Linked DNA regions of Macaca mulatta. The protein of the gene in region 3 purifies or fractionates together with the protein of the main gene of each other region. This does not show direct contact. Links are inferred from orthologs where the notes say so. Each region holds a gene or a part of one and is shown on either strand. Other genes may lie near its edges. The genes, in order: LSM12, PABPC4 and ATXN2.

Region 1 (4,125 bases), on a different chromosome or scaffold from region 3:
CAGACAAAAGAGCTAGACCTTTCTGTTCTTCCTATAATACTCTGTATCTGCACAGTGTTCTTTTTACTCTTTCAGATGTGAGCTTTCCCATTTTGCAAAGGAGAAAACTACACACTGGAAAGGAAATTCACCCAAGGTGATCCAGCCAGTTAATCCATTCATTCATTCACACATTCATTCTCCAAACATTTAAGAGCCTACTGTATGTCAACTAAAAATTGAGTAATTCAGCCAGGCGCAATGGCTCACGCCTGTAATCCCAGCACTTTGGGAGGCTGAGGTAGGCGAATCACATGAGGTCAGGAGTTCGAGACCAGCCTGGCCAACATGGCGAAATCCCGTCATTACTAAAAAAAAGTTAGCCGGGTGTGGTGGCACATGCCTGTAATCCTGGCTACTCGGGAGCCTGAGGCAGGAGAATCACTTGAACACAGGAGCCAGAGGTTGCAGTGAGCTGAGATCATGCCACTGCACTCCAGCCTAGGTAACAGAGTGAGATTCCATCCCCCCCCAAAAAAAAAAAAAAAAGAGTATTTCCTAGTTTCAAGACCCTTCCAACCAAACCACTAATGTAAAAGGTCTTATTTCTTCCAGGTGTAACCTCTCATTTTTTGAAAAAGCAACAATTGTTAGCACAGTGGCTCACGCCTGTAATACCAGTACTTTGGCAGGCCGAGGCGGGCGGATCACGAGGTCAGGACATCGAGACCATCCAGACTAACACAGTGAAACCCTGTCTCTACTAAAAATACAAAAAATTAGCTGGGCGTCGTGGCGGGTGCCTGTAGTCCCAGCTACTCAGGAGGCTGGGGCAGGAGAATGGCACGAACCTGGGAGGCGGAGTTTGCAGCGAGCCAAGATCGCACCACCCACCACTGCACCACTCCAGCCTGGGCAACAGAGCAAGACTCTGTCTCAAAAAAAAAAAAAAAGCAACTACTCTTACTATAATTAGTTTCAAAGGACATCTTCCTAAACTAGAAATCTACAAGCAGTGGTTAAATGAATTAAAATACTTGCCACTCAAAGGCAGCAGACTCAGTAGGAAACTTCATTTTGAAAGATGCCATGGCCGGGCACGGTGGCTCACGTCTGTAATCCCAGCAATCTGGGAGGTCAAGGCAGGCAGATCACCTGAGGTCAGCAGTCTGAGACCAGCCTGACTAACATGGAGAAACCCCGTCTCTACTAAAAAAAAAAAATACAAAATCAGCCGGGTGTGGTGATGCATGCCTGTAATCCCAGCTACTAGGGAGTCTGAAGCAGGAGAATCGCTTGAACCTGGGAGGCGGAAGTTGCAGTGAGCCCAAATCAAGCCACTGCACTCCAGCCTGGGCAACAGGAGTGAAACTCCGTCTCAAACAAAAAAAAAAAAACAAAGCCGGGCGGTGTCTCAGGCCTGTAATTCCAGCACTTTGGGAGGCCGAGGCGGGCAGATCACGAGGTCAGGAGTTCGAAACCATCCTGCCCAACATGGTGATACTCCGTCTCTGTTAAAAAAAAAGATACAAAAATTAGCTGGGCGTGGTGGCGCGTGCCTATAATCCCAGCTACTCCGGAGGCTGAGGCAGGAGAATCGCTTGAACCAGGGAGTCGGAGGCTGCAGTGAGCCAAGATCACGTCACCGCACTCCAGCCTAGGAACAGAGCGAGACTCCATCTTTAAAAAAAAAAAAAAGATACCATAAAAAATTACTCCTTCAAGATTCCAATAAACCCACCTGTAGCTCCCATAAAAGGGGAAGCTGTGGCACATTTATCCCAACAAGAAGCGTTTCGTTTCCAAGACTGAGTTTCCTGGAGTAATTCAGAAGTCATTCCCACCCCAAAGAAGCAGGCCACCTTTTCCAATCAATTTAACATTGCTGCTTTCAAAAGGGAGGCTGCTACTACTACGTAAAAGGACTCCATGTGCTGGACTGATCAAGGCAGCATGAGAACTTCACTCTTTCACCTGTAACTCACACATCCCCAACCCACATAAGCCCCGGCAAGCCCTCTCTGGAACAGGTTTCCAATGCAAACATCCCCCAAACAGCGATTTCCAAATGACCGAGAAGCCTAAAAGTCAGAACAGCCCCCCCACCACCACACATACACACGCATCAGCGAAACAAGCCACTATCCCCAGTTCAGATACAAACTCTGCCCTGCACTTACTCTCCCCCAAAACAGGCAAGGACCAATTTGGTCACCATTCCACCGCCCTTCCTTGGACGAAATCCCATCAGTGCACATGCCCTCCTAAATTCTATACCTTTGCCCTACCAGCAGTTCCTTACCCTAAACATCCCTCCCCATAATATTTCACCCGCTCCTCCTTTCCATCCGGGCTCCAATCCACCAGCCCCCTCCCAACACCACCCCCTCTCCTAATCACTGTGTCCCCTCTCATAACGTTCTTCCCGAAAAGCCATCCCCGTGTCAAGCCCTCCTCCACCCACTGATCCTCGGTAAAGCCCCAGCTCCCGCAAGGGGAGACAGGATCCCCAAAGCTGACCGAAGGGCCCGCGGGAGGGGGAGGGGAACTCAGGGCCATGCGCATGCGCCCCGGGCGCCGCGGTAGCCGGTCGCCCCTAGGCCCGGAGAGAGCCCCAGCCGCCGCCGTCGTCCCCCACCCCCCGACCACCGCACCTATACGCCGGCCCGGACTCGGGCTTCACGCAGGGAAGGATACTTAAAGCCAGCATTTTGGATTGGTAGTCGAAGGCTACCACCTCGCCCTGCAGCCGCTGCTCCTGGCACGTCCGGCACGACACCTGGCTCCCAACGCTGAAGTACTCGCCCGGAGGAGCCGCCATCTTGGGAGTGCAGCCGCGGCCGGCGGCGGCGGCGGCAGCAGCGGGCGAAAGCCGGGCCCCTAGTGAGCGCCGCGACGCGACGCGACGCACGGAGCGTGCTTGCGTCACACGCCGGGGCGTGGTCTGACGCTGGGTGGCTAGGGAGCCTAGGTGGACTAGGGAAGAAGAGGAAATAAAGGGGAATCTGAAAAATATTTGTGTAGCTGCGTCCGCTCGGTTAAATGCTTGTAGAGTCCATTTTAGAAGTTAAGGATAAATGACCTACGTGGAATGAAAGGGGGAAAGAGGAGAGAGCTGCAGTCTCCATTATATGCACACCTTCCACACAAGAGTTTAATGAATGAATTTTATAAAATATATTAACCCCATTTTGCATATAAGGAATCAGAGCCTCAGAGGACTTAACAATACTTGGACAAGATGATTATAACGGCCGGGAGCGGTGGCTCACGCCTGTAATACCAGCACTTTGGGAGGCCGAGGCAGGTGGACCACCTGAGGTCGGGAGTTCGAGATCAGCCTGGCCAAGATGGTGAAACCCTGTCTCTACTAAAAATACAAAAATTAGCCGGGTATGGTGGCGCGTGCCTGTAATCCCAGCTACTAGGAGGACTGAGGCTGGAGGATCGCTCGAACGTGGGAGGCGGAGGTTGCACTGGGCCGAGATCGTGCCACTGCACTCCAGCCTGTGCAATAGAGCAAGACTCCGTCTCAAAAAAAAAAAAAAAAGATGATTGTAACTAGAGAGTGATAGTGGAAAGAACATTGGCTGTGGAGTGAGATAAGCCGGAACCAGAATCCCAGGTCAACCTATTACTAAATCACCTGACCTTGAGTAAGCAAATTACCTGATCCTGTTTCTTCATAGGCATTTGTATTGTCACTTCTTGAGCATCTAACAGCCCTTTGAGGTAGGTATCAATGTCCTCCTTTTACAGAAACTACGTTTTAGACTAAACTTGTCCACGGTTCCACAACTAGCAAAAACAGTCTACCTATTTACAAGGACAGTGCTATTTACTGCTATACTGTGTTAGATAATAATACCTACCTCATAGTTAGGAGGTTTAAATGCGATAACGTGTATATGTGCATGGCATGTACTAGGTCTTTAATAAATGGTAGTTCCCCTTTAGTCATCCATTATTCTTAGAAGTCAAGACACTTCCTCTTCTTCCTTTTTGCCCTCTCCCCCAGAAAGCCAGGCAAAAGGCAGGAATGAGGAGCAGCAGATAGTGACAAAGAGGAACTTGGAGGAGGGGTTTTGCACCCCTGCCCTTTAATGTCCATCTGATATACAAAACAGTCATTTTCTTAATCTTATG
Region 2 (4,258 bases), on a different chromosome or scaffold from region 3:
GTGACATTACCCAGAACCTCCTCCATGAGGGGATTTAGACAGGGTCAGAGCAGTGGAATCTGCTCCTTGCCTCAAGGCAACATCTCACTTAAGGGGGGGGACAAAATTCCCCAACTCTGACGCTCCACAAGCTCAACTGTTTCTTTAACCAGGAGAATTTATTTTCACTCATTATTTCCAACAAACTTCCCCACCCCCTTCAGAAGGTGGGCTCATCTGTATGGGGGGCAGTTGGGAAAAGGGGAGATGACAAGACAGATCCAAGTCAGGAACAGTCCAGGAAAGGAGGAGTTTGCTTGTGATGGCGATCAGAGATAGATAGCTGGGATCGCAAACTATTTCATTAATTAGCAGTAAAGGAGCCCATTTCAACACAGCTCCTCGTCTATTTCCAGACAGCACTGCACAAGGCAAGCCGGCTTAGTCTGACAAATCTGGCTGCACTTATTTATAGCAGGGAGAAGTCCTGCAGAAGTATGTGTTGGCAGACACACTGACCAATGGCTTCTGCTATCTCTAAGTGACATGACTTTTGTTCAAAAGTCAAGAAGGCAGACAACAGCTAATGTGGTACATTATCCCTTAAAAAGACCACACTCAGCTACCTTCTTTGCGCTCCTATAGCCATAGACAGAACTCAGCTTGGAGCATACTGGGTTGACGGTAGCAATACCTAGTTCCTCTTAACATGTCCAATTCTCTGGTCTCAGCTGCAACCTGGGCAAGTAGTAACTCTGGGCCTCAGACAGAAAACAAAGTGGGGACCTCAAAACTAGCGACCTGGAGATCCTTTGCCATAGCATGGCTTGTTTCTCCCAGTAATGATCTCTGCAGTTGTTCCCTTCTAATCTGGAGTCACGTGCAGCCTCTGATCAGATTTCCTTTGGCCTCACTCCTGCCACGCCTGCAACATACCTCTCTCCATGCTAAGGCCACAATCTGAGGTGGCAGAGCACTGTGCTGGGAGTCCCAACTTGGTTTCCAACTTTTTGCATTCCTTTTCCTTCTCAGGAGTCCCATTTTCTTCAGATTAAATGAAGTAAAAGGGCTCTGACGAGTGCAAACCACTGTTACAGCTGAGGTGACAAATGCCACCAGATTTTCAAGTGACGCTTCCCCAAACTACCTCCACAACACTCTTTACAGCACAGAGCCTGGATACCATTTGTCCAGCGCAAAGCACTTCTCCACTCCAGTGGCAAACACACAGACTAAGGAGCTGGCCTGGCACACGCAGCTCCTGTGGCACTAACCTAAATCTCTGCTAGTTTAACGCACAGAAACCTTCCCCCTGCTTCCTGCCTGCCCTGACCCATCCTTTATCAGCACAACATCAGGTAGTCAAGGTTAGTAAAGGTGGCAGAGCGGGCAGGAACTCTACAATGTAGAACTTTTGCGGGAATTGTGTTTCAAACGTCCCTCCTTTTTGGCCAGCCTGTGAAGGGCACAAGCAAGGGTCTGTAACAGCCCAGCCCCACTGACAAGGACCACACACAGTGGAATGCCAGTGGCTTCACTCTAATCCTGTTTTACAGTTTCCTTGGTTTCCAACCCTACTACCAGCAACACCAGTAAGTAGCCCAAGGTCACCCAGTTAGCAAGTGGTAGAAACAAGATTGAAACTCGAGTCATCTGATGCCAGGTCTGCGTTCTCAATCTCTGCACCCTGCTCCAAGCTTCGGTGGCAACATGCTGTCGTGATGCTGCCCTCCTTGGCAGGAGGGCCCTGCCAGAAGACGACTCCCGGGGTCCGCCGGGCTCCCACGCACGTGTGGGCACAGCTTCTACTCACCGTCGGCCGGCTGCTGGAAGTTGACGTAGGCATAGCCCAGGGAGCGGCGGGTGATCATATCGCGGCAGACCCGGATGGACAGCACAGGCCCCGCGGGGCTGAACTTTTCGTACAGCATGGCCTCGGTGACGTCCGAGTGCAGGTCGCCCACGTACAGGGAGGCCATGGGGTAGCTGCTGGCCGCAGCGTTCATCTCCCCGCCCCCCACCACCCCGAGCCCCGCCAGGAGGACTTCTTATCGGGCCCGCCGCAGGACAAAAGGGGCGCCCTCAGAGCCCGGGCCCGCGCCGCGGCTCACAGGTGGCACCGGGGCGGCGAGGACGAGCTGGAGTCGGCGGGCTCGGAGATGGGACGGAAACGGGAGGCGGGGGCCGGCTCCCACGGCCGCGGCACCGCAGACAAAAGGCTCTCCGCACAATACGGCCCTCCCCACGACTTTGCACTTCTCCGCGGTCCTGGTGCGAAGCTCCAAATTTCAAAAAATCAAAGTAGGAAAAAAATTAAACGGGGAATCCCCTTCCGAACGGTAAAAATCCTTTAAGAGGCGACCGGACGCTACCCACGGCGGCCCCGGGGACACGCGTTTCTCTATAAATATAGGCCTCGGGCTCCGGCGGTTTAAGATTACAACCGCCGGGGCAGAGGGAAACCAAATCTTTGTGGGCGCCGACTCGGCGAGCCCCGGGCGGGCGGCGAAGGGCAGCGCGGACACGTGGTGCGCCGGGGCCGGCGCGGGGCTCGGGCCCGAGAGTGGGGAGGGCGCGACGGGCCGGGCGGGCGGCTCACCCCCGGACCGATGGACGGAGACCGACGGACGCCAAGCGCGGCGGCGGCGGGCGCGGGGCAGGCCGGAAGCGTGCGAAAGTGACTTCCCCGCGGGTTCTCCGAGGAGGATTCGCTTTTTCTTTTCCTTTTTTTTTTTTTCAGGATTTTGAAGCGTTTTCGGATTTTTTTTTATCTTTTTCTCTTTTTTTCCTCAGGCTGCGGAGCCCGAAAGCGGCGCAGGCGGCAGCGACCCGGGGCGGAGAGAGGCGGCCGAGGGAGCCACCGCTCCATTTATACCCGCCCGCCCCGGGCGCTGCTGGTCGAAGGGCGCCTCGCGACCTGGGCGCAGTCGTGCCCGCCCACTCGGCCCGGGGGCCCGAGGCGGGGCGGCCACGCGAGAGCGACCCGGCGCGGCCGCGCGGCGCCACAGCGACCCCTGGCGCGCGGAGGACCGCCTAAGCTCGCGGTTGCAGGAGACCCCCAGGGCCCCTTTCTATAACCAATGAATCTTAAGACCCTCCTACCCATCACCCGGGAATGGAACCTAGAAGCCATTTAACTCGCACACACGCATGAGGTTTAAAATTAAATGGTATGGGGCCGGGCGCAGTGGCTCACGCCTGTAACCCCAGCACTTTGTGAGGCCGAGGTGGGTGGATCATGACGTTAGGAGATCAAGACCATCCTGGCTAACAAGGTGAAACCCAGTCTCTACTAAAAATGCAAAAAATGAGCCGGGCGTGGTGGCACGCGCCTGTAATCTCAGCTACTCAGGAGGCTGAGGGAGGAGAATCGCTTGAACCCGGGAGGCGGAGCTTGCAGTGAGCCGAGATTGAGCCACGGCACTCCAGCCTGGGCAACAAAGCGAGGCTCCATCTAAAAAAAAAAAAAAATTAGATAGTAAGCCTAATTGTGAAATGAAGGTGACATAAAATAAGTTAAAGTAATAGGTGGTCCAATAGGTAAATGTTTGTGAAGTTTTCAGAATACTGTTGGCCTAGAGGTAGAATCGTCAAGAGCTGGAAATGCAAGCAGTATCCATGGGTGATGGGATTTTCTGAAAAGATGAGCACATTTTGGTAAAGCTTCAATGAAACCAAACACAAGCATCCCTTCTATTGACATGCTGGTGGCATTCCCGGACATTTAGTTTGTATTTAAGGGCCCAGAAATACTTTCTACTCCTATGTTTAAAGTTTCTTATACGCTTGGATAATTATAAAAAGACTTTTCATCTGCATCAGGGTCTGGCAGGTCATTTGAAAGTCATATCACTTGCCAGGCTCAAGCCTGTAATCCTAGCACTTTGGGAGGCCGAGGCAGGTGGATCACCTGAGGTCGGGAGTTTGAGACTAGCCTGACCAACATGAAGAAACCCCTGTAATCCTAGCTGCTCAGGAGGCTGAGGCAGGAGAATCGCTTGAACCGTGGAGGCAGAGGTTGCGGTGAACTGAGATAATGCCATTGCACTCCAGCCTGGGCAACAAGAGTGAAACTCCGCCTCAAAAAAAAAAAAAAAAAAAAAAGGTCATATCACTTTATGGGACTATGTTATATGGGACTGTCCACACACATTGCAAGATATATAGCATCCCTTCTTCCATAAGTGCCAGGAACCAACTTTGCCATCACTGTGACAACCAAAAACAGAAATTGCCAAAAGGCAAACAGACATCCCCCTTCAAAAGCACTAATTTAAGT
Region 3 (3,644 bases):
ACAAAACAAAGACCTTTTTTTAATGTCTAAAAAGTATTCACTAATGGCCATGTAAGAAAAAGAAAGAAGGTTGTTTTAGCATACTAAAACAAAATTCAGATGACAGGTATGGAAGAAGGACTACTAATTTTTCTTTTTAGGGGACTAAATAACCTCAAAGAAAGTAATAAACCTACCTGAGAGAAGGAACGTGGGTTGAACTCCTTTGCATTAGGATTCAATGTTGATTTCCTAACTTGCCTAAAAAAAAAAAAAAGGCCAGTGAAATCTACATGGACTTTATGTTGTTCTAAAATCTTCCATACCTGACAATTTAAAAAAAACTGCTAGGCCGGGCGCGGTGGCTCAAGCCTGTAATCCCAGCACTTTGGGAGGCCGAGACGGGCGGATCACAAGGTCAGGAGATTGAGGCCATCCTGGCTAACATGGTGAAACCCCGTCTCTACTAAAAATACAAAAAACTAGCCGAGCGTGGTGGTGGCGCCTGTAGTCCCAGCTACTCGGGAGGCTGAGGCAGGAGAATGGCGTGAACCCGGGAGCCAGAGCTTGCAGTGAGCCGAGATCGCACCACTGCACTCCAACCTGGGCGACAGGGCGAGACTCCGTCTCAAGAAAAAAAAAGAAACACTGCTAAACATAGATTTAAACTGTTCTCACTAGAAGATCACTAATCCTCTTTATTGAAACATACGCACTTATATTGCCAATTCCTTAATCCCTTAAAGAATATAGTCATAAAAGAACAATTTTTTAAAAATCTGAGTAATATACAACTGCTCCTCTCAAAGGCAATCAAAAAATACTTTATTTTCTCCTTCAGAGTCCCACTCTGTTGCTCAGGCTGGAGCGCAGCAGTGCAATCTTGGCTCACTGTAACCTCTGCCTCCCCAGTTCAAGCAATTCACCTACCTGAGTCTCCTGAGTAGCTGAGATTACAGGCGACTGCCACCACACCCAGCTAATTTTTTTTTTTTTTTTTTTTTTTTTCCCCAGTAGAGATGGGGTTTCACCATCTTGGCCAGGCTGACCTTAAGTGATCTGCCTGAGTCAGCCTCCCAAAGTGCTGGGATTACAGGCGTGAGCCACCACGCCTGGCCAATCAACAAACACTTGAGCTGAAAAGACAGTAGCTACTTATAAAATATCCTTAAAAGCACTTCTTAACATACCAGTATTCTTTTATTATTATTACTTTTTGAGACAGAGTCTCGCTCTGTCACCCAGGCTGGAGTGCAGTGGCATGATCTCGGCTCACTGCAGCCTCCACCTTCCGGGTTCAAGCAATTCTCCTGCCTCAGCCTCCTGAGTAGCTGGGATTATAGGCACCTACCACCATGACTGGCTAATTTTTGTATTTTTAGTAGAGACAGGGTTTCACCATGTTGGCCAGGCTGGTCTTCAACTCCTAACCTCAAGTAATCTACCTGCTTCGGCCTCCCAGAGTGCTGGGATTATAGGTGTGAGCCACCAGTCAACATACCAATATTCTAGCATGAAGTAATTTTTATGTGAGAAGATATTATCTACATAACATACCTGCAGAAAATCATGGCTCTAAAAAAAATTTGCCTCAAATCAAGAATAAGCAGTCCCCAATTTATCAATAAGCTACATTCCAAAACTTTAGCTTTAACTGGATTGTTTGGTACCCAGAACACCTAAGTCAATGGTAGTTAAGTTCTGAGGTTAGCCCCTGAAAGTCCATTTAACAAATATATGGAATGTGCAGAATTAAGTCTATTTTAACAAATCTAAACATTAACTAAAACACTGTTTCTGATGAAAAATATTTTGAATTCCAAGTAGAAGCATCGCATGCTTCTCTCCTTGACAGTGGCAGTTTTTCATCCTAGCAGCACAGTGAGGGTGACTAATGAGTGGAATCCAGTAAAGATAGGTCTCCTGAACTGATAATTTTTCAACTCCTGTTCATTTACAGAAAAACTTTTCTTAATTTATGCCTTGTTTTTCTAGCCCTGGGGTGCAAAAAAGGGGAAGAACAAGAGTAGCACAGGGTGCAATAACCTAATTTACTTAAGATGTCATTTGTTTGGACTAGCTGTTTGTAAACTAAGGGCAATGTATGAAGCAGTCTAAAAGTCCAGATGGATTCTTCACAGTTGGAAGGACCTAAATGCCTTTAAAAAAAAAAAAAAAAAATTAACTGAGTAACAGGATGGTCTAAGTTCCAGGTTTACTCACTCAGCTGCGTCTTTCTTCTCTTCCTTATCATCTTTCTCTTGTTTACATGCTGGACTGGAAGTCTGAACCCCTTGGGAAGTGACCTCAGGTCCCCTCTTGTGCTCCGTGTTACTAAGTATTGAAGGGGAAATGCTGGGGCTATTCGGCTTGCTGCTGCCACTGGTACAGTTGCTGCTGCTATTTTCAGTGAAAGAATCCTTAGCACTTGGTTCAATTTTGTCTTTGATCAAATCTCTTGATTTTTCTGCCTCTCTATTTTTGTTTAGTAGTTGATCCATAGATTCAGAAGTAGAACTTGGCTGTAACTAAATAAAGGAAACAATTATACTTAAATATCTTAAATAACTTTAGTAATCCATTTTTGCCATGAGCACAAGCAAAGTAATATTAACTATATGCATGAAATGTTTTGAATAAGGCTTTTTTCATACTTTAAGAGTAATGCTTTTACTATAAAGTAACAATAACAGAATACCTATATAGCACAACCACAGTTACCAAAGCACTCAAATGTCTTAGCCTCTAAAGTTCAATATTTACTGAATGCCTACCACATGTCAGAAATTGTGCTTGCTGGGTGAGAAAAATATGAAAAAATTTCTATCCTCCTATACTTGTCATCTAAATAAGATCAGACACTTCACAACAAAATGAGTAAATGCTAAGAGATTCTATAGAAAAAACAACCTATAAAAAAGAAAGGTTTCTTAATGGAAGTTTCAGCTAGTCTAAGGTGTGAAAGAAGTTTAGGAGAGGTGTTTGGGATGGAGAATAGTCTAAGTAAAAGGAGGAATATGTTTAAAAATCCAAAGAAAAGAGAGAAGATGGCTCTATCACATAAAAGAATAGCACCAATGGGGGCTGGGCGCAGTGGCTCATGCCTGTAATCCCAGCACTTTGGGAGGCTGAGGCAGGCAGATCACGAGGTCAGGAGATCGAGACCATCCTGGCTAACACGGTGAAACCCCGTCTCTACTAAAAATACAAAAATTAGCCGGGCATGGCGGCGGACGCCTGTAGTCCCAGCTATTCGGGAGGCTGAGGTAGGAGAATGGTGTGAGCATGGGAGGCAGAGCTTGCAGTGAGCCGAGATCACGCCACTGCACTCCAGACTGGGTGACAGAACGAGACTCCGTCTCGGAAAAAAAAAAAAAAAGTAAAAGGATAGCACCAATGACCCAGGCACAGTGGCTCATCACTGTAATTCCAGCACTTTGGGAGGCTGAGGCAAGCAGACTGCTTGAGCTCAGGAGTTCAAGACCAGCCTGAGCAACATAGTGATACCCTGTTCTCATTAAAAAATAATAATGATAATAAAATAAAATAAATAACAAAAATAAAGAAGTAAAGCAAAGCACCAATGGCTGGACCAAGGGTGGGACACACATGTACAAGTGAGTCAGAAAATGATAGACTTGCCAAAAGGAATATGACAATAAAGG

What was found.
Region 1: the proteins of ATXN2 (region 3) and LSM12 purify together in Homo sapiens (affinity purification with mass spectrometry; 4 studies listed by BioGRID and IntAct, with this or other methods). This does not show direct contact. The link is inferred for Macaca mulatta from reciprocal best matches to the Homo sapiens genes ATXN2 and LSM12.
Region 2: the proteins of ATXN2 (region 3) and PABPC4 purify together in Homo sapiens (affinity purification with mass spectrometry; 4 studies listed by BioGRID and IntAct, with this or other methods). This does not show direct contact. The link is inferred for Macaca mulatta from reciprocal best matches to the Homo sapiens genes ATXN2 and PABPC4.

The regions. Positions count from the first base shown.
Region 1 is NC_133421.1:68,427,624-68,431,748, forward strand, and holds the start of LSM12 (protein LSM12), read right to left. Parts: upstream 2,813-4,125; 5' UTR 2,801-2,812; coding exon 2,677-2,800; intron 1-2,676. UniProt on the Homo sapiens protein: Nicotinic acid adenine dinucleotide phosphate (NAADP) binding protein. Confers NAADP sensitivity to the two pore channel complex (TPCs) by acting as TPC accessory protein necessary for NAADP-evoked Ca(2+) release.
Region 2 is NC_133406.1:201,215,813-201,220,070, reverse strand, and holds the start of PABPC4 (polyadenylate-binding protein 4), read right to left. Parts: upstream 2,824-4,258; 5' UTR 1,986-2,823; coding exon 1,793-1,985; intron 1-1,792.
Region 3 is NC_133416.1:118,688,445-118,692,088, forward strand, and holds part of ATXN2 (ataxin-2), read right to left. Parts: intron 2,508-3,644; coding exon 2,203-2,507; intron 241-2,202; coding exon 177-240; intron 1-176. UniProt on the Homo sapiens protein: Involved in EGFR trafficking, acting as negative regulator of endocytic EGFR internalization at the plasma membrane.